Linked DNA regions of Xenopus tropicalis. The protein of the gene in region 1 purifies or fractionates together with the protein of each later gene. This does not show direct contact. Links are inferred from orthologs where the notes say so. Each region holds a gene or a part of one and is shown on either strand. Other genes may lie near its edges.

What was found. Proteins that work in one complex are often made in the same cells at the same time.
Region 2: the proteins of mphosph10 (region 1) and imp4 purify together in Homo sapiens (affinity purification with mass spectrometry; 3 studies listed by BioGRID and IntAct, with this or other methods). This does not show direct contact. The link is inferred for Xenopus tropicalis from reciprocal best matches to the Homo sapiens genes MPHOSPH10 and IMP4.
Region 3: the proteins of mphosph10 (region 1) and imp3 purify together in Homo sapiens (affinity purification with mass spectrometry; 4 studies listed by BioGRID and IntAct, with this or other methods). This does not show direct contact. The link is inferred for Xenopus tropicalis from reciprocal best matches to the Homo sapiens genes MPHOSPH10 and IMP3.

Annotation. Positions count from the first base shown.
Region 1 is NC_030679.2:97,027,702-97,031,917, reverse strand, and holds the start of mphosph10 (U3 small nucleolar ribonucleoprotein protein MPP10), read right to left. Parts: upstream 2,804-4,216; 5' UTR 2,779-2,803; coding exon 2,687-2,778; intron 930-2,686; coding exon 242-929; intron 1-241. Other genes in the region: fan1 (fanconi-associated nuclease 1), read left to right, coding at 3,061-3,079, 3,760-4,216. UniProt on the Homo sapiens protein: Component of the 60-80S U3 small nucleolar ribonucleoprotein (U3 snoRNP). Required for the early cleavages during pre-18S ribosomal RNA processing. Part of the small subunit (SSU) processome, first precursor of the small eukaryotic ribosomal subunit.
Region 2 is NC_030684.2:596,863-601,076, reverse strand, and holds the start of imp4 (U3 small nucleolar ribonucleoprotein protein IMP4), read right to left. Parts: upstream 2,810-4,214; 5' UTR 2,789-2,809; coding exon 2,786-2,788; intron 1-2,785. Other genes in the region: ccdc115 (coiled-coil domain-containing protein 115), read left to right, coding at 3,004-3,126, 3,253-3,356. UniProt on the Homo sapiens protein: Component of the 60-80S U3 small nucleolar ribonucleoprotein (U3 snoRNP). Required for the early cleavages during pre-18S ribosomal RNA processing. Part of the small subunit (SSU) processome, first precursor of the small eukaryotic ribosomal subunit.
Region 3 is NC_030680.2:118,013,537-118,017,792, forward strand, and holds the start of imp3 (U3 small nucleolar ribonucleoprotein protein IMP3), read left to right. Parts: upstream 1-1,447; 5' UTR 1,448-1,611; coding exon 1,612-1,748; intron 1,749-3,353; coding exon 3,354-3,461; intron 3,462-4,256. UniProt on the Homo sapiens protein: Component of the 60-80S U3 small nucleolar ribonucleoprotein (U3 snoRNP). Required for the early cleavages during pre-18S ribosomal RNA processing. Part of the small subunit (SSU) processome, first precursor of the small eukaryotic ribosomal subunit.

The DNA.
Region 1 (4,216 bases):
GGGGACATTATGCATACCATTAAAAATTACCCATTTGCCAAACCTGTTACTTTAGCTGTTTTTCTTTTTTTACCAACCATATATGCCTGCCTATTCAATGCAGACCATAACATCCTGAAGAGCTTATGTTCAACCCACACACCTTGAGGTGACATTCATATGTTTATACGGATGTCCAAATGCTTTGCAGGGCTGCATTTGCTCTTTTCTGATTAGTGGGCTTTATTAGTGCACAATTTACCTGTTCTTTGCTTTTTGTAATGTTAAAATCTTCATCCATATCATCCTCTTCCTCCTCCTCCTCATCATCTTCAGAGTCAATATCCTCAAAATAATCAACATCATCATCGTCATCCTCCTCACTGTCTTCTTTCTCGACTTTTTCTAAATAGGCCTCCATTTCAGACAACTTAAAGAACTTGTCATCAAGTACTGACTTTTCACTAGGTTTAGCCATTGGTTTTTTATTTGGTATCTGCTGACTCTGCTTCTCCAGTTTATCAATATCAAAGTCCATATCTGAATCATCATCATCACTGAATGCCTCCACTGGTGTTCTCTTTGGTCTTTTAGTATCAGCAGTTTTTTTCTTCTGAGTTCTTTGTTCATCTTCATTTTCACTAATTAACTCTGACTCTTCTGCTGACACACCTTCCTCATCTTCGTATTCCAATTCTGATGGCTCTTCCTCAGTTGACTGTATGAGATAAATATCCTTGTCTTTTTGTGTCTTACTAACTGCTTTCTTGAAGTAGCCAAGAACAGCATTGTTCTGCAGTTCTAGTTGCTGCCATATTTGCTCTTCATCAAAATTCTCTATAATCAGCTTTTCCAATGGGCTTCCCACCTCTAGTGCAAGCTGTGACTTTTGCAAATCATAAAGAGCTTTTGTTAAACAAGAGAACTCTGTTGCCAATTCATCCTGCACACTGAAAAAAAAAAACAAATGTATTTTAAAATACTCCTGCAAATAAGTAAAAAAAAAAAAATCATATGTACTTTATTACAATGTAGAAGTATGGGATCCATTATCTGGAAACCTGTTATCACACTCCATTATAAGCAAATAATTCTAATTTTTAAAATGAATTTCCTTTTTTTCTGTAATAATAAAACAGTAGTTTGTACTTGATCCCAACTAAGATATAATTAATCCTTATTGGAGAAAAAAATATTATTGGTTTTGTTAATGATGAAACAACCCCCAGAAAACCCAAGGTCCCTACCATTCTGGATAATAGGTCCCATACCTATATTTATAAAATCTAACAGTTGCCCACATTACTAGAGAGCAGAGTTTAGAATAGATAAAAATATCACACTCACAATAGAGCAGAGAACAAGAGTGTAGCACTGGACAGTATCATACAAACAAACTGTATTAATGTATTCTACTGTACAGCTCTGCGTACATAAGTAGCGCTTTATAAATAATGATATACATACATACATACATACTGACACAACAGCTATACGTGCCTTGGTGTTAAGTGTGCAACCAAAGATGGGAAAAGGGAGAAAATGCATACCAAGTAACAAATAGTTCTGTAGAATGCAATGGTGTTTTACAGAGCTTATCTTTGATCTCCTATGAAACCTGTGCCATTACGCACCCTCACACAAGAGGAGATTAGTTGGCCCACGGCAGTGACAAATCTCTTCTAAATGCTTTTGAACTGGCAATAATGTAAATTGCCATTGGGAAAACATATGAGTCGTTCGGCTTTCGGAAGTCTCCCACAAGTTTGCTTCGAGAGGAAAATGGGCAACTTTGGAAAGCCGAAGCAACACATTTTTTTTTTCCCACCAGTGATTGACATTATTGCCGGTGGGAAAACATTCCCACACTAAAGGAGATTAATTGTGGGGGCGACTAATCTCCAAGTTTGGCAGCGCTCTTAGCCTTATTTTAATTTAAATAGCTTCCCCCCATGTCTACACAGCAGCTTTGTTTATATAATAGTATATAGTAGGCATTTTACTAGTGCAGGACAACAGCACATTAAATTTTAATTATTTTAAAACACATTTTAGTGTTACCCCCCTACCTCTTTCACATATAACTTCTCTATTTCGTGCTCAGCATAGTCCTATTAAACATTAAGTAAAAAAACAAATTGAATTCATTTATTATAAAAGTGTGCCTTGGGTACCCAATGCCCTAAGTCCTTCAATGTGTTGAGACATGTCAAGCTGTTCAAACTATAAGATTGTTATTGAGAGAATAAGCAAAGTCGCTCAGTGGTTATAAATGGTTCAGATGCATAAGCTCCAACCACAGACACCATAACTATAGTGTGTATATATATATAATGCATAAAACAGCACTTTTCTACTCTTCAAAAAAAATGGTTAAAGCGTTTTAAGGATATGAAATAAAGGTGTATAATAAAGGTCTAATTATGTGTGGTTCTGGTGTGGATATGGAAGATTTTACGTACTATTGTTTTTTTTTTTTTGCATTTTAAAGAACAGAGATTAAACAAATCTTCAGTATCCTTGCCAGTTTATTTTTAATTATTTTATGTAATTATGGTTTTTCTCAGTGATTGGCACAGGCAGCTCAGTGAGTCTCCAGGATTTAGTCCAGCACACACACAAATGTTATAGCAGTAAACGATGGAAATAAACAGCATAATCATAGGCTAAGAGGATATAGCAGCCAATAAGGGTTCTTTCTCTGTACCTCAGCAACTGCTCCGGGTGGGCACTCACTAATTCCAGAACCTCCATGCACTGTTCCAGCCCATGCCTCGGTTCTTCAGAATCTGCCATCATCCTTTGCCACGATCAGCGCAGCTCACTCACATGTTCCATAGAGAAGAGGAAGTGCGCCTACGAAACCACTCCGGCCGGAAACGTTTGCTACAGTGCTATGGTTCCGTAAGTACAGTAAGACACACAAACTGACTGATATCCGAGTAGGATATGTCTAGCATATGTGCTTGCTTTACACTATGGCGTATGGTAACATGTAATTGCGAAAAAGGTCTTTCATGCAAGTACTTTTGGCAGTATTGTCTGTGCCAATAAAGCTATCCTGATTCGCTAACATGGCGGATGCCTTGGATTGTGACAGGTAAGAAAAGCGGGGTATTTGAGACTCACGTATACGCTGCTTGTTTCAAAATTGAGTCATTAATTATGTTTTAGTACCAGCTGCTTGGTGTGTATTTTTGGTACTTCGCTTTTACATTTTACTGCCAGTCACTACCATCTATGAGAGTTAATTACACCAGACCTTCTTATTACATTACATTAACATTTATTTATAAAGCGCCAACATATTCCGCAGCGCTGTACAATAAGTGGGTTACATACATTGGACATGCAGAGTAACATATAAAGCAATCAGTAACCGATACAAGAGGTGAAGAGGGCCCTGCCCAAAAGAGCTTACAATCTTATTTCTTGATATAGTCCTGGGGTTTACATGTCTATAGAAATGGTTGTTTCTTGGGAATGGTCCAGGTTTTAAAAACTGCACAAAGGCTGTTTATTGATACTAAAGTCAGAATTAACACTTGTAGTCTGCTAACACTGTATAATAACCACGTTATTGGAAAGGGATCATAATATAATCATTCATATTGTATGGCAAAGGTTGCTACCATATGACCCGGCCAGTAAAAAATATACTGGTTTTCAATGTGTAAACATAATAGAAAGTTTGTTTGTTTGTTTTTTTTTAATTTAATTGTGACAAAAAATAATTCTTTTGGCAGTCCTCTATCTACTTAATCTTTCTTGTGTTTGCAGGAGATGAACAATGCATTCAGAGGCTTAGTCAAAGTATATATCCCAGTACATCAGAAATGAATTCTCCTGAAAAGAAAAAATCCCGCAGAAGTCTATCCATATCAAAAAAAAAACCTAATGTCAATTTAAAAAACATTCAGTCACCAAGAAAAACATCAGTGTCTCCATCAATTATTGCCCTATTTAAAAATGCACCTCCTGCAAAGCTCTCTTGCCCTCTTTGTGCTGAAATGGTGCCACGATTTGGCCTTAACAAACACCTGGATGAAACATGCCAAAAAGCAAAGCAATGTGCTGACGATGTCATACTGATTGAAGAACAGGATTCCATGCAGTCAGAACAATGTCAAAGCACCCGACCATTAGAAAACATCAGAAATCCAGTCTCTAAGACTAGTCCTTCTAAAAATAATGAGAAACAAACAAGCTCATATTTTAACAAATGCAGCCCTGTAAA
Region 2 (4,214 bases), on another chromosome or scaffold:
CCCCAGTACAGCACAGCATTATGGGTAACTATGGGACTCCCCCGCACCCCTATTACCCCCAGTACAGCACAGCATTATGGGTAACTATGGGACTCCCCCGCACCCCTATTACCCCCAGTACAGCACAGCATTATGGGTAACTATGGGGCTCCCTGTACCCCTATTACCCCCAGTACAGCACAGCATTATGGGTAACTATGGGACTCCCCCGCACCCCTATTATCCCCAGTACAGCACAGCATTATGGGTAACTATGGGGTTCCCCCGTACCCCTATTACCCCCAGTACAGCACAGCATTATGGGTAACTATGGGACTCCCCCGCACCCCTATTACCCCCAGTACAGCACAGCATTATGGGTAACTATGGGACTCCCCGTACCCCTATTACCCCCAGTACAGCACAGCATTATGGGTAACTATGGGACTCCACCGCACCCCTATTACCCCCAGTACAGCACAGCATTATGGGTAACTATGGGACTCCCCCGCACCCCTATTACCCCCAGTACAGCACAGCATTATGGGTAACTATGGGGCTCCCCGTACCCCTATTACCCACAGTACAGCACAGCATTATGGGTAACTATGGGGCCCCCTGTACCCCTATTACCCCCAGTACAGCACAGCATTATGGGTAACTATGGGGCTCCCTGTACCCCTATTACCCCCAGTACAGCACAGCATTATGGGTAACTATGGGACTCCCCCGTACCCCTATTACCCCCAGTACAGCACAGCATTATGGGTAACTATGGGGCTCCCCCGTACCCCTATTACCCCCAGTACAGCACAGCATTATGGGTAACTATGGGACTCCCCCGTACCCCTATTACCCCCAGTACAGCACAGCATTATGGGTAACTATGGGACTCCCCCGTACCCCTATTACCCCCAGTACAGCACAGCATTATGGGTAACTATGGGGCTCCCCCGTACCCCTATTACCCCCAGTACAGCACAGCATTATGGGTAACTATGGGGCTCCCCCGCACCCCTATTACCCCCAGTACAGCACAGCATTATGGGTAACTATGGGGCTCCCCGTACCCCTATTACCCCCAGTACAGCACAGCATTATGGGTAACTATGGGACTCCCCCGCACCCCTATTACCCCCAGTACAGCACAGCATTATGGGTAACTATGGGACTCCCCCGCACCCCTATTACCCCCAGTACAGCACAGCATTATGGGTAACTATGGGGCCCCCCGCACCCCTATTACCCCCAGTACAGCACAGCATTATGGGTAACTATGGGGCTCCCCGTACCCCTATTACCCCCAGTACAGCACAGCATTATGGGTAACTATGGGGCCCCCGTACCCCTATTACCCCCAGTACAGCACAGCATTATGGGTAACTATGGGGCTCCCTGTACCCCTATTACCCCCAGTACAGCACAGCATTATGGGTAACTATGGGGCTCCCTGTACCCCTATTACCCCCAGTACAGCACAGCATTATGGGTAACTATGGGGCTCCCTGTACCCCTATTACCCCAGTACAGCACAGCATTATGGGTAACTATGGGGCTCCCTGTACCCCTATTACCCCCAGTACAGCACAGCATTATGGGTAACTATGGGGCTCCCCCGCACCCCTATTACCCCCAGTACAGCACAGCATTATGGGTAACTATGGGGCCCCCCGTACCCCTATTACCCCCAGTACAGCACAGCATTATGGGTAACTATGGGGCCCCCCGCACCCCTATTACCCCCAGTACAGCACAGCATTATGGGTAACTATGGGGCTCCCCGTACCCCTATTACCCCCAGTACAGCACAGCATTATGGGTAACTATGGGGCTCCCCCGCACCCCTATTACCCCCAGTACAGCACAGCATTATGGGTAACTATGGGGCTCCCCGTACCCCTATTACCCCCAGTACAGCACAGCATTATGGGTAACTATGGGGCCCCCTGTACCCCTATTACCCCCAGTACAGCACAGCATTATGGGTAACTATGGGGCTCCCTGTACCCCTATTACCCCCAGTACAGCACAGCATTATGGGTAACTATGGGACTCCCCGTACCCCTATTACCCCCAGTACAGCACAGCATTATGGGTAACTATGGGGCTCCCTGTACCCCTATTACCCCCAGTACAGCACAGCATTATGGGTAACTATGGGACTCCCTGTACCCCTATTACCCCCAGTACAGCACAGCATTATGGGTAACTATGGGGCTCCCTGTACCCCTATTACCCCAGTACAGCACAGCATTATGGGTAACTATGGGGCTCCCTGTACCCCTATTACCCCCAGTACAGCACAGCATTATGGGTAACTATGGGACTCCCTGTACCCCTATTACCCCCAGTACAGCACAGCATTATGGGTAACTATGGGGCTCCCTGTACCCCTATTACCCCCAGTACAGCACAGCATTATGGGTAACTATGGGGCTCCCCCGTACCCCTATTACCCCCAGTACAGCACAGCATTATGGGTAACTATGGGACTCCCTGTACCCCTATTACCCCCAGTACAGCACAGCATTATGGGTAACTATGGGACTCCCTGTACCCCTATTACCCCCAGTACAGCACAGCATTATGGGTAACTATGGGGCTCCCTGTACCCCTATTACCCCCAGTACAGCACAGCATTATGGGTAACTATGGGGCTCCCTGTACCCCTATTACCCCCAGTACAGCACAGCATTATGGGTAACTATGGGACTCCCTGTACCCCTATTACCCCCAGTACAGCACAGCATTATGGGTAACTATTACATTACGGTATTGGGGGGTATTGGGGGCCCCTAACACTCACCATGGTTGCGCTGTTCCGACCCCACGTGTAGCCCCTGAGAAATACCGGAAGAGAACCCCGGAAGTGACCTCACTGCGCCCCAAAGAAAGATGGCCGCCAGTGACGAACAGGAAGTGGTTTCCGTGACATGTCCCGGCTCTGTGCTTCCGCGTTGGGCAGTCATGTGAGTGGGTAGGAAGCACAGAGGGGCCCGGGAGTGAGTGAGTGAGTGGGTCGGGATGGGGTCGGACACGGAGGTGGCGCTGCTGTGCGGGCGGCTGGATGCGCTAACACTGCGCCTGATGGAGGAGCTGGAGAGTCTGCGGGACAAGCGGGAAGCGCTCAACCAACACATTGAGCAGGTACTACAGCTCCCAGCATGCACCCCGGGCCCCTGGCTGATTGGCTCATACCTACCTGCCGGGGGGGGGGGGGGGGGTGTATGTTCCCCTAGTGCGCTCCCCGTGTAACCCTTTCCTACCCCCCAGGGCTGGCTGTGCCTCTCCCAGGCCCGATACTCTATGGGGAACAAGCGTGTGGGCTCCCTGCACTACCGACCCGACATGGCGCCCCTCACCCTGGTACAGAGCCGGTAAGTACCCCCATGCATCTGCCCCCCCATGCATCTGCCCCCCCATGCATCTGCCCCCCCATGCATCTGCCCCCCACCCTGGTACAGAGCATGTTAGTACCCCCTATGTATCTGCCCCTCACCCTGGTACAGAGCGGGTAAGTACCCCCCCATGTATCTGCCCCCCCTATGTATCTGCCCCCCCTATGTATCTGCCCCTCACCCTGGTACAGAGCATGTTAATACCCCCTATGTATCTGCCCCTCACCCTGGTACAGAGCGGGTAAGTACCCCCCTATGTATCTGCCCCTCCTATGTATCTGCCCCTCACCCTGGTACAGAGCGGGTAAGTATCCCCCTATGTATCTGCCCCTCCTATGTATCTGCCCCTCACCCTGGTACAGAGCGGGTAAGTACCCCCCCATGTATCTGCCCCCCCCTATGTATCTGCCCCTCACCCTGGTACAGAGCATGTTAATACCCCCTATGTATCTGCCCCTCACCCTGGTACAGAGCGGGTAAGTACCCCCCTATGTATCTGCCCCTCCTATGTATCTGCCCCTCACCCTGGTACAGAGCGGGTAAGTATCCCCCTATGTATCTGCCCCTCCTATGTATCTGCCCCTCACCCTGGTACAGAGCGGGTAAGTACCCCCCCATGTATCTGCCCCCCCTATGTATCTGCCCCTCACCCTGGTACAGAGCATGTTAATATCCCTATGTATCTGCCCCTCACCCTGGTACAGAGCGGGTAAGTACGCCCCCTATGTATCTGCCCCTCCTATGTATCTGCCCCTCACCCTGGTACAGAGCGGGTAAGTACCCCCCTATGTATCTGCCCCTCCTATGTATCTGCCCCTCACCCTGGTACAGAGCGGG
Region 3 (4,256 bases), on another chromosome or scaffold:
TTGGTCCCAATCAGGTGGTGTCCGTTAAAAAACTTAAAGTACAGTGATAACTCTCATCCAAAACAACTACAGTTGTTAAATATCCCTAATTTCCATAGACAGTACAGGTATGGGATCCCTTATCTGGAAACCCGTTATCCAGAAAGCTCCAAATTACGGAAAGTCCAACTCCCATAGACTCAATTTTAATCAAATAATTCAGAATTTTAAAACTGATTTCCTTTTTTTCTGTAATAATAAAACAGTACCTTGTACTTGATCCCAACTAAGATATAAATAATTCTTATTGGATGCAAAACAAGCCTATTGGGTTTAAAAAATGTTTTCTTGATTTTTTAGTAGACTTAACGAACTGCATACAAGTCCCTTCACCTGGTTTCTCATACCCCCTTCCTCTTTTAGATCATAAGCTCTATTGAGCAGGTATCTCTTTACTTCTCATATTGGTTATATATTTTTTGTTTTATGTAATCTATGGGGCACATTTACTTATCCACGAATGCTCTGAGCGTTCGTTCAATTGTATTTTCCGCAACTTTTTCGTACCTTGCGCGACTTTTTCGTACCTTGCGCGACTATTTTCTATATTTAGCGCGAAAAAATCAGATCAGTTTGCCCGCTGTTTACAATCGTTCGGTACGAAAATTTTGTGACTTTCAGATCGCCAATACGTTATTATCGTGACAAATACGATTTTTTCGTAAGCATTTTCGTGATATTTGCGATCTTCAGAAATTTGCGTTTCCAATCTGAATTTTTCCCATTCGGGATTCGAAACTCGTCTTTTGATAAATCTGCCCCTATATGTTAGATGTATGCACACCCTTCCACAGGGCCAAACTGGAATGTGCAGGGCCCACCAGGGCTGCCACTTCAGGGGCCCACCACTCCCTCTAGGGGCCCCTGCCATCCTCCCAAACCCCCCCCCCCACTATGCAGGTATACCTCATAGCAACCTTGCTGCAATAGGGGGTCTGGGTTAGCAGGGCTCACTGGGTTTTTTTCCAGTCTGATCCTGCCCTTCTATTATACAGCAATGCAGAATATGCTGGTGCTATATAAATAAGTATTAATAACAATAAAAGTGTTTCAGTATATTGCCACATATTTATTTATATGCTTGTAGGGCAGCAGCACTATGACCAGTCATTGTTAGTTCATAGTATCTGTTTACTGATAGTTTCACTCTATCATCTGTAGTCACTGAAAATGTGGCAATAAATGCAGTTATATAGTTAAAATCTGTAAAAAATTTAGCATGCACGTCTAGGTTTGTCATATACTGTTAGGTGCTCAAAACAGTACATATATTACAACAGTGTACTTGGAAATGATGTTGAAAGATATTAACCACCCCTTGTCATTAACAGCTGGGAAATAGTAACGGTATGAGATATGGTACAGCGTATACAGTAACTCCATCAAGCCTCAGCAATACGCATGCGCTCAGCTGTCCAAGGAGGCCCCGCCCTCTACCCGTGACCTCACAGAGCTTTCCGGTACCGATCCCTGCTTCTGCCTCACAGAGGGGAACAAGCGGTACCCCGGGCCCGCAGCATAAACGTATCTTTCCGCCCTGCTTCTCTCCTTCGCCTTTGTAACTCACGCGAAATGGTTCGCAAGTTAAAGTATCACGAGCAGAAGCTGCTGAAAAAGGTAGACTTTATTAACTGGGAGGTGGATAATAACATCCATGAAGTCAAAGTGCTGCGAAAATACCATTTGGATAAGCGAGAAGACTATACTAAGTAAGTGTCGCCTAACTATGTCAAAGCGAAATCATTACAGCTATGTTTCATTCCGATATGTTGTTTACAGAATGGCGATTAGAGTGTATAAATACCTCTCGTACACGTGTGAAACGGGCGCAGCCATGACACTTTCACCATGACAACAATATGGCCTACTTCCGGGAACGCAGAGGCTCTTGTTAACAGCTGAACTCAGTCTTGTTATGTTTATTAAACATGCTGACCGAAACACATGACAAATCAGAGACACTTTTTAAAATGTAATTAGCAAGGCTGGTCTAATGGCAATCAGTGTTTAAATACAAGAATAGATTGAAGATCCTTCAAGGATAGAAAATTGCTTTTTGTATTAGAAGGGTTCCTTATTTTTCTAATAGTAACATATTTATATAGTAATATCAGTGTGATGGTGCCTTAGATTGAAACACTGCTGATGAAATATATTGATGGGGTGATTAATTCTGTTGCTGTACAGTGGTATATTGCATTGCTTACAGAGGCTGAAAATGTTGACTTTCACTGAAATCTCAGTGGTCCCAGATGCATACTGTTGTGTGACATGTGTTTACATTACTTAATATCTTATATCAGGGGTCCCCAACATTGTTACCTGTGAGCCACATTCAGGTGTAAAAAGTGAAACCCAAGCATGACAAATTTACCTGGGCATACCAAATAAGGGCTGTGATTGGTTATTTGGTTGCTCCTATGTGAACTGGCAGCCTACAGGTGGATTTTATGGAGACCAAAACTTACTCCAAGCCTTGAGTTAAAAAAAATAAGAACCTCCTTTAAGGCCCTGGGAGCTTCTTCAATCAAGGGTTGGTGAGCAACATGTTGTTCTTGAGCTACTGGTTGGGGACCACTGCCTTATATGATGCATGATCCCTATTATTCATTTGCTTCCACAAGTAGGTTTGCCACTTGACCAGTAAAAATAATGCTTGATGCCAAAAGCCCAGTAAATGTCCTTTGTGTCATTAGGCTTTAGGGCTATAGCATGGGGCAAGTTGGTATTTAATACACACTGCCCAGCAGAATGGCACTTGCCATTCTTTCAACATATTGATATGCACACTTTTTTGACAGTTTGAGCAATGCTACGTGTATAGCTTGAGGTGAGGCATGTGAACACCTTCTGTTTTCAGAAGACATTTCTCCACATTTCTTTATTTAGAGGACCTTTTGGCCCTTCTAACCCTAACCTTGCTTTCCAAGTTTTATCCTATCAGAAACCATATTCCAGTATTTTGTGCTAATGAGATCTTAGATGATGGAAAATATCAAGAGCATGTAGTACTTTTCAGGCAAGAGACTAGAAGTGTTAACCTCATCCCTTAAATAGTGGGTTTATATGAAATGTACTTGCTGCAAGCTTGATTAGTAATCAAATAATGCATGAATGCTTAAAAGAGTGTTGTCTTCTGTATGCATTTCTATGCAATGTCACCATGTTTATTTATGAACAAGGTTTGCATCAAACTTTAACAAAGAAACATGCTCATAACTGTTCCTTTATATTTCCTTTATTGCAGTGCCTATTTTGTGTTGGCTATAGGGGTCTAATAGTTCACTTATTCTTGCTATTCATTTGTCCTGTAGGTACAACAAACTCAGTAGAAATATCCGAGAACTTGCCCAAAAAATTAGAGACCTGGATGAAAAAGATAAATTTCGTGTCCAAAGTACTGCAAAGCTCCTAGAGAAACTGTAAGTATGAAATGAAGTTTTATTAGCCCCAATGGATAGGCTGCAAATTTAAATATATCCTTTATATACATTTATAGGTATTTATTTTCCATTGTGTGGGTGCTGCCAGCACTCTACATCTTGTCGCGTCATTTTTATTAAATAGGTATATGAAGTATAGATTTTGAACCATACATATTTTGAATTTGCACTTGCATTTAGCTCTTGAACAACGGTTTGGAGTGTATTGACCACTTTTTTATGCAGGCCAAATGCCTACAGAATGATTTAGGCAGTCGGATGACCGTAAGCACCTATAAGGTATAATAAGCAGCCCCACCTCTGTTGCTCCTTGGGCAGTCAGATCTGTATTTGGCTTGCTGCTCTAGGTCAAAAATACAGCACTTTTTCAAAACGGGTAAGGAAAATGTGCAAGGGTGGGAAAGCCATCTTCAAATATTAAGTTTTAGTTCACCTTTATTCTTGGTGTGCCCCCCATAAACTTGTATTCTGTAGGAAGATAAGCCAAACTTCCACATGGTTTTACCTCTTATTTGATGTTCTCTCTTTTTGAAAAACATGTTGTAATTGGAATTGTTTATTCTTATTAAGGACAGACTTCACTCAAGGACAGGCAAGACATAATTAAACAAAAGATAATTAAATAATTAAGACATTTATTCGGATTGTGCATTGAACTTTTTTTTGGTTTGTGTGTTGCAATACTGGCCAACACAACTCTTTGGGAACACAACCTGATGGTAGGTATGGCTTGGGTGTAAGAGTTCCCTTATCTGGCATTTGTTAGAGGGTCAC